Canis lupus familiaris: one gene and its partner. The main gene of each other region encodes a partner of the protein of the gene in region 2 in a complex. Links are inferred from orthologs where the notes say so. Each region holds a gene or a part of one and is shown on either strand. Other genes may lie near its edges.

Region 1 (4,388 bases), on a different chromosome or scaffold from region 2:
ACAGGAAGCTCCACTAGCCGAAAGGCTGCTGCAGAGGACACGTCAGCAAAGTAGACCAAGACAAAACAGCCAGAGCAGGAAGACATGACTACAGGGTCTGGGGACGGCGAGGCAAGAGCTCTTAAAGTCTAACTCTGATCACATCACCACAGATTCAATCTTTGTGCCCCTCAGTCTCATATATACATTTTTGATTTTGTGATCTCCAGACTCGTGCTAACCAATTCATGAGACCCTGATGTCGTTTTCAGAATGCCAGTTCATTAATTTGCTGAGACATAACCACTCAGCCCACTGGCATGCTCTGCTACGGGTCAGGACTTTCCTTCCCTGAAGATAAACGCACTCAGGTGACTGACTGCTCTCAGAAGGTCACTGGCTGAGCACGGGATCAGAACAAGGGACTCCGAAGCCAATGGTCTAGAGCTACGGTATAACCAGGGACCTAGAGCACAGCCGACAGGGTCTCCATGGGAGACAACATCCCAGATGGTGAGATGTGTGGAGGAGGGTAGGGGTTGGTGAGGCACCCAGAGACTAGCAACAGCCCTCCAGATGGAGGAAGGGGAGACAAACGGCTACCAGCGTCAAGTCCAGCAAGAGCTGAGACTGTCAAGGAAGCCCTGGGGAGGAGTCATGGCCATGAGTAGGAGGAGACCCCCAATCTGAGGATTCCAAAGAGGGAGTAAGGACAGGGGACTGCAGTGGTCATGAGCGTTCTCCCTTCTAACTATGTATGGCTGCGCCCTTGGCCAGGTACATCAGCCCACGCCAGAAACGTGTACTGTTGAATTCAGGTATCTTCTTGTCTGGACCAGTGCTAGAGACACACTCTGGGCCACTCAGAAACACTTGTCCTGGGCAGCCCGGGTGGCTCAGTGGTTTAGCGCCGCCTTCGGCCCAGGGTGTGATCCTGGAGTCCCATGTCGGCTCCCTGCATGGAGCCTGATTCTCCCTCTGCCTGTGTTTCTGCCTCTCTCTCTGTGTCTCTTATGAATAAATAAATAAAATCTTTAAAAAGAAAAGAAAAGAAAAGAAACACTTGTCCTAGAGACCACTCAGGGATGGTGAGGAGTCCAATGCACAGCGTTAGACCAGCCTTAAGCACCAAAGACTCACTTAACTGTAATTTAGTATGTTAGTTAAGCGCAGAATCAGTCCCAGAATCTTAGAACTTCGATAAGGCTCCCAAACTGACACCTGACGTCAGAGCTCAAGGTGAATCTCAATCTCTGAATGGACAAGTCCTGGGATTCCAGACTTAAATCAGGGCTGGAAACTGACTGGTGGCAGCTGGCAGGGCGGCATCTGACTCTGGGTTTCAGCTCAGGGCATGAGCTCAGGGTCGTGGGATCGAGCCCCACACCAGGCTCAGAGCTCAGCACAGAGTCTGTTTGGGACTCTCTCCCTCTCCCTCTAAAATAAATCAATCAATCTTAATAAAAACAAGAAACGGGCTTGTCTGTTCACCTAGAAACAAGTAAATACACACGTATCTCTACCGAGACTTTTAACTCCATGCAAAGTTTCCACAAGGCAGGATTTTTCACTTATACCAACGCTTAATCTTTAGAGTGGAGCTTTCTAATTCTAAGAGTATGGAATCTTCACGCCGAGGATGAGAGGCAGGTAGAAACAGGAGCCACTAAGGGAGACCCCAGGGAGCTGGCCACGTTCCCCCCAGCCAGCTTACTAGGGATGTGTGAGCTCTGCGCCCCAGGGCACCTCACCCTGAGTCCCCACCGACTCTCCCAACTGCAGCCACAGTGGCAGTTCGTGGAAGGTCAGCCACGGGCACAGACTGCCGTCCCATCCCTGCCTGCTCACTGCAAGTCAGACTCACTTTTCTCTACAATCTTCAATTTCTGGAAGCTTTCCAGCACCTCCCCATTCAGGATCCGAGGTAAGAAGTCCCGGATCTGCATGACTTCAGTGGTCAGCCGCTCGAGGTCCTTCTTCCGGACTTTAACGAATTCCTCTTTAGTCCCCACGTGCTAAAAGGAGGAGCAGATTTTCCCATTATTACCGTCTTTCCGGACGACTGCTGCCCAAGTCGGCTGGCTTCCTTCCTTGGACACCTCCTGCTCACAAAGCTTTCAGAAGCTCCTCGTTACCCATCCTGCCCTCTGCTCCGCACACTTCAAAGGGGGAGCCAGTGTCTCCCTTCCCATCCACATGCCAGCCCCCCCCCAGCCGAGGCTGAAAATCGGGCAGCTCTCTGGTCCCCCACCCCCGGGGGCTGAGGCCAGCCGGACAAGCTCAGTCCCCCCACCACCAACAACCCCCCCCCAAGGCCGAGGCCAGCCCCGGCTCCGGACAGGCTCTGGTCCCCCACCCCCACACCCCACCTCCATCCCCCGAGAGAGCCGAGGCCACCAGGGCACTCGTTCCCCCACCCCTGGCGGGGGGCCGAGGCTGATGCTCTGGACACGCTCCGGTCCCACCCCCCACCCCACCCCCACCCCCGGAAACCGAGACCTACACCAGCCGGACACGCTCGGGCCCCCCTCACTCTCACCCCCCCACCCCCGGGCCCAGCTGCCCGGCCCTCTGGGAGCGCCCCCCGCACCTCCGCTGTTCCGTTCATCTTCCCCACCCGCCCAGGCCGTGGGGGGGGCAGGCCGGGTGACCGCCTCCGGCCCTCACCGTGAACCGGACACTGCCCGGCTCCGAGCCCGGGTCCCCCCACCTCCCGGGCCCCCGCACAACGCCCCGGGGCCGCACTGTCCCCGCCACGCCCGCTGCCCCCTCCCGGGCCCCCTGCGCGGGTGGGCGCGGCCCGGGCGCTCCGGGGGCACCACGCAGCCAGTCGCCGGGGCCCGGCCTCCCCACTGACCCCGCAGGCCTCCTCGGCGCCGCCCGTCTCGCCCATGGCCGCCCCCGGCTGGTGCGGCCCGGCTCCCGGCTCCCTGCTCCCTGCGGCCCGGCTCCCTGCGGCCCGCTCCGTGCGCCTGCGCGCCGCGCCCTCTGACCCCGCAGGCCCCGCAGGCCCGAAAGCGCGGGAACGCGCAGCAGCGAGGCTCGAACCTCCAGGAGCTGGCGCAGCATCCTCCGCCCGGCGAGCAGCGGTGGGGGCAGCGGTGGGGGCAGCGGTGGGGCTCGGCGAGGTTCCGCGTCGGCTCTGCTGCCTTAACCGGGCTTTTAGACTCGCTGCCTGCAGAGCAGAAGGACAGGGGGATGCAAGGCTGAGCGGCAAGGTAAGCAGTCCCGGGGGCCTTCCCGACCCCGGGGGGCGCTGGGCTAGGGGCGGCGCTCAGCGGAGCCGAGGCTCCTCCGGGGGTCCGCCCGGGATTCGGAGGGCCAGCCCAGCCAGCCGCCTGTAGCCCAGACGACCACCTGCTCGGGAAGATGCCACCTGGTCCATTCACCTGCCCCGCGGGCCGAGCGTGCACCATCGGTGCCACCAGCGCGGTCCAGTGTACTGGGTCCTGCACAACTAAGACCTCGTCTGTTTCTGAGGCCAGCAGGTTGCCAACAACACCCAAGTCCCCCGAATGTTCTCCAGGCAGGAGAGCACACTCGCAAACAACCACTCTAAATCTGTCCCCATGCCAGGACCTGTACCAACCCATTATCCCCTGCATCTGTCTTGTACCTAGCCCCGGCATCCCCTGCACTGGGACCTGACCTCGTCCCTGCCCCTGCCATCCCCTGCACTGGCAATGACCCTGACCCTGCCACCCCTGCACCAGGACCTGACCCTGACCCTGCCATGCCCTGCACTGGCACCTGACCCTGACCCTGCTATCCCCTGACCCAGGACCTGACCCTGACCCCAACCATCCCCTGACCTAGGACCTGACCCTGACCCTGCTGTCCCCTACACCTGACCCTGACCCTGACCCTGCCATGCCCTGCACCGGGACCTGGCCTTGACCCTGCCACCCCTGCGCCAGGACCTGACCCTGACCCTGCCATGCCCTGCACTGGCACCTGACCCTGACCCTGCTATCCCCTGACCCAGGACCTGACCCTGACCCTGCCATCCCCTGCGCCAGGACCTGACCCTGACCCTGCCATGCCCTGCACTGGCACCTGACCCTGACCCTGCCATCCCCTGACCCAGGACCTGACCCTGACCCTGCTATCCCCTGACCCAGAACCTGACCCTGACCCTGCCACCCCTGCACCAGGACCTGACCCTGACCCTGCCATGCCCTGCACTGGCACCTGACCCTGACCCTGCCATCCCCTGACCCAGGACCTGACCCTGACCCCAACCATCCCCTGACCTAGGACCTGACCCTGGCCCTGCCATCCTCTGCACCGGAACCTGACCCTGACCCTGACCCTGACATGCCCTGCACCGGGACCTGGCCTTGACCCTGCCACCCCTGCGCCAGGACCTGACCCTGACCCTGCCGTCCTCTGCCCCGGGACCTGACCCT
Region 2 (3,805 bases):
TACCCAAGGGCACTCTAGAGACAGCAGCTGTCCCCTTTCCCATGCCTCTTTCATACAGGGATCACTGCTGAGGGACATACCTCTGCCAGTACCTCCCTATACCAAAGAGGCCCAACCATTCTAGGAGGGTCTGCCCTGCAAATATCAGATCACTGAAGGTCAGAGCCTGTCAATCTGGCTTCAGTGAAGCCACTGGCAACCACTCACTGAGTTACACATAGCATTTCCCGCACATTTTCCGTCAAAAGTGAAGCTACGACCCCTCTTATTAGTTAATTTTATTATAAGTAAGCTCTATGCCCAACATGGGGCTCGAACTCACAAACCTAAGATCAAGAGTCAGTTGCATGCTCCACCAACTGAGCTGGCCAGGTGTCCCGACTCCTTTTAGTGAGATCATCATAGATTTATATATAGATATGAGAAACGATGGGGAAGACTCCTCATGCCCTTTACTCAGTTTTCTCCATTGGTAACATCTTGCCTAACTCGAGTATAATATCACAATCCAGATATTGACACTGATAAAGTCCACTGAACTTATCTGGCTTTCTAGCTTGACTTATACCTGTTTACATGTGTGTATGATGTTCTATACAGTCCTCTTGCAGTAGACGTTGTGCATCCACCACACAGATAAGATATAGAAAATCTCCAACACAGGATCCCTTGTGCTGCCAAGTGTAGCCACACTTGCCTCCCTCCCACCCTACCCACCTGCTCCAACTCCCTGCAACCACTAACCTACCCACCATTTCTATAATTTTCTCATTTCAATAATGTTATGCAAATAGAGCCCTACAGCGTATAACATTCTGGGACTGGCTTTTTCCACTCCACATAATGCCCTGGAAATCCATCCAGATTGTTGCGTGTATCACTAGTTTGTATCCTCTTTTATTGCTAGGTTGTGTTCCATGGTGTGTCCAGCCAATCACCCATTGAAGGATATCTGGGTGTTCCCAATTTGGGATGATTATAAACATGGCTTCTGGGAATATCCACCACTCACTTTGGTAGGGGCTTCTGTTGCCAGAGATGTCATCACCCCCAGAGCTCAGAGTGGAAAGGATGAGAATACATTGTAAGACCCACCCCTTGCCCCAAACCACACAAAAGCTTCCAAGAAGTAAAGAGGTTCAGGGATAGAATGTGGGCTGTTTTCTGTGTTTTTACTACTCTCACACAACCTGGGGAAGAAGGCCGCAGCCTTGACCATTTTGCTGCAAGCACAGCTATCCTGAACACCTCATACAGGCCTGTATGAGCATGAGCTCCACAGACATCTGTAGCATGGTGTACTGAAAAGGGGCATCTAGATGAGTGCAGGTCTAGCCAGTGCCAAAGAAAACCAAGGCTGAACTCAGCTGCCAAGGCTGGTCCAAGACGCTTGTGTCTACTGGGCTCACCTGGCTGATTTTAGGGGCTCCACTCCCAAGGTCCTCTTCCTTCAGCTCTGCTTGTCTTGTTGCTGTCTTCCTGAGTTTTGCAAACTGGGGGACATACCTCCTGGCTGAGTTCTGTGAACCAGATACAATAAGAACAAAACAACAATAAAGATAAGGGGAGGAATGAGGTTTCAGAAAGCAAATGCCAAACCAGTTCCTTTCTGGCAGCCTCAATGCAGCCCTTGCCCTCTGTCCCCAGCCCACAGTCCTACCAGTCTGTCAGCATGCTGGTGATAGAGACAAGAACTCCAGCTTAAGGGAGGCAGTGTCATTGGTTCATACATGAGGCCATAAAACAGGCTCACCTGAGAAAGAGCAAAGGGAACCGGCCCCTTTTCTGGTTGCCCAAAGAGCCTGGAGGGAGCTCCTGCTTCCTCATCATGGGAGCTGGGTGGAGAAAGACAAAACAGGAGGTTCTGAAGTCCTGGGAGGCTGTCAGTGCATGTGGTGAGACAAACAGGATGAATCCAAAGGCAAAGTAGTACTCAGTCTCCTGTAAGGGAGGCCCTGGAGCACCTGCTTAGAGAGGGTGGGATGGAGAAGGGGAACAGTGTGCCTAGGGTGACACTTGGCTGCCAAGAAGGGTGTGAAGACCCACACCTAAAATCCAAGCTGTCTGCTCTGGCAGCAGTTTACCCTTATAATCTCAGGAATTGGCTCCTGAGATAAGAATAGGAATTCTCATTTGCAATGACACTCTAACCCCCAACTCTGCAAATTCCAGAGAAAAGGAAGTTATAGACACAAAAAACACAGTATCTAAAAAAGCAAGTGTGTTCGTAATTGCCAAAATGCAGAAGCAATGGAGGCAGCCTTTAGTGGGTAAATTGATACGTAAACTGTGTGCACCCAGACAATGGAATATTATTCAGTACTAAAGAAATGAATTACCAAGCCATGAGAAGACCAAGAGGAAACTTAAATGCGTATTTCTAAGTGAAAGAAGCCAGTCTGAAAGCACTGTATGATTACTACTCTGTAACATTCTGGAAAAGGCAAAACTATGAAGACAATAAAAAGATGGTGCCAGGGTGGGGAAGGGAGGGATGGACAGGATACAGGAACTTTAGGCAGCAAAAATACTCTGTATGAGATTATAATGGTGGATACGTGTCATTCTGCATTTGCCCAAGCCCGCAGAACATACAGCACAGGGATCCCTGGGTGGCTCAGCAGTTTAGCGCCTGCCTTTGGCCCAGGGCGTGATCCTGGAGTCCCGGGATCAAGTCCCACGTCCGGCTCCCAGTATGGAGCCTGCTTCTCCCTCTGCCTGTGTCTCTGCCTCTCTCTCTCTCTATGTCTATCATGAATAAATAAATAAGATCTCTTTAAAAAAAAAAGAGAGAACATATAGCACAGAATGAACTCTAAAGTGAACTGTGGATTTTGGGTGATTAGCATGTGTCACTGCAAGTTCATCCTTGGTAACAAATGTACTGCTCTGGTGGGATGGCAATAATGGGGAGTAGTGTATGAGAAATCTCCATACCTTCTCTCCAATATTACTGTAAACCAAAGTGTCTGGGATTGAGCCCTGTATCAGGCTCCCTGCCCAATGGGGAGATTGCTTCTCCTCCCTCTGCCCTTTCCCCTGCTCGTGCTTGCCTTCTCCGTCTCATGCTCTATATATGTGTCTCTTTCAAATAAATAAAATCTTTTTTTTTTCAAATAAATAAAATCTTTAAAAAAATTTATTGTAAACCTAAAACTACTCTAAAAAAATTAGGTCTTTTTATAAAGCATGTGAGACTTATGGTTATATCTAAATAAATGCAGATGTGTATGTTGCTAAAAAAAAAGATTAAAATCTGGAACTAAAACTTCAAGATTTCAACTTTGGAAGTGAAAGAGGAAAAAGCCTGAAGATACAGTAACAGGTTTAAGTTGTATTGGGGAGCTTATAGAGACAGAATACATCTAGATAGTGATAGCAAGAGTGTTTGAAAAATTTTATTTATTTTTATTTATTTATTTGTTTGTTTGAAAATTTTTAACTGGAATGGGTTGTTTGGGTGGCCTCTAAAGTATTGGCTAAGATTTCATTTCTTGTTTTATTTTTATTTATTTATTATAGTCACACAGAGAGAGAGAGAGAGAGGCAGAGACATAGGCAGAGGGAGAAGCAGGCTGCATGCACCGGGAGCCCGATGTGGGATTCAATCCCAGGTCTCCAGGATCGCACCCTGGGCCAAAGGCAGGCGCCAAACCGCTGCGCCACCCAGGGATCCCTAAGATTTCATTTCTTAACGTAGATGTGTTAAGTTTGCTTTATGTTGTTGTTTTTTTCTGTTATACTTCTATGAACATGGTATTTTTTTTATGAACATGGTATTTTAAAAAAAGATTTTATTTATTTA

Evidence for each region.
Region 1: the proteins of BRME1 (region 2) and HSF2BP are in contact, whole or in part, in a crystal structure (PDB 7Z8Z), measured with the Mus musculus proteins. The link is inferred for Canis lupus familiaris from reciprocal best matches to the Homo sapiens genes BRME1 and HSF2BP. Residues at the interface, in NP_083321.2 of Mus musculus: Met541, Gln542, Asp543, Ala544, Thr545, Val548, Arg549, Leu551, Val552, Leu555, Ser556, Asn559, Ile562, Met563, Thr565, His566, Leu569, Lys573; in NP_083178.1 of Mus musculus: Glu23, Phe24, Val25, Lys26, Val27, Arg28, Asp31, Leu32, Arg34, Leu35, Glu38, Val39, Gln41, Ile42, Phe45, Leu46, Arg48, Ile49, Glu53, Leu54.

Annotation. Positions count from the first base shown.
Region 1 is NC_049252.1:37,529,411-37,533,798, forward strand, and holds the start of HSF2BP (heat shock factor 2-binding protein), read right to left. Parts: upstream 2,960-4,388; 5' UTR 2,873-2,959; coding exon 2,837-2,872; intron 1,995-2,836; coding exon 1,844-1,994; intron 1-1,843. UniProt on the Homo sapiens protein: Meiotic recombination factor component of recombination bridges involved in meiotic double-strand break repair.
Region 2 is NC_049241.1:48,971,091-48,974,895, reverse strand, and holds part of BRME1 (break repair meiotic recombinase recruitment factor 1), read right to left. Parts: intron 1,836-3,805; coding exon 1,754-1,835; intron 1,521-1,753; coding exon 1,410-1,520; intron 1-1,409. UniProt on the Homo sapiens protein: Meiotic recombination factor component of recombination bridges involved in meiotic double-strand break repair.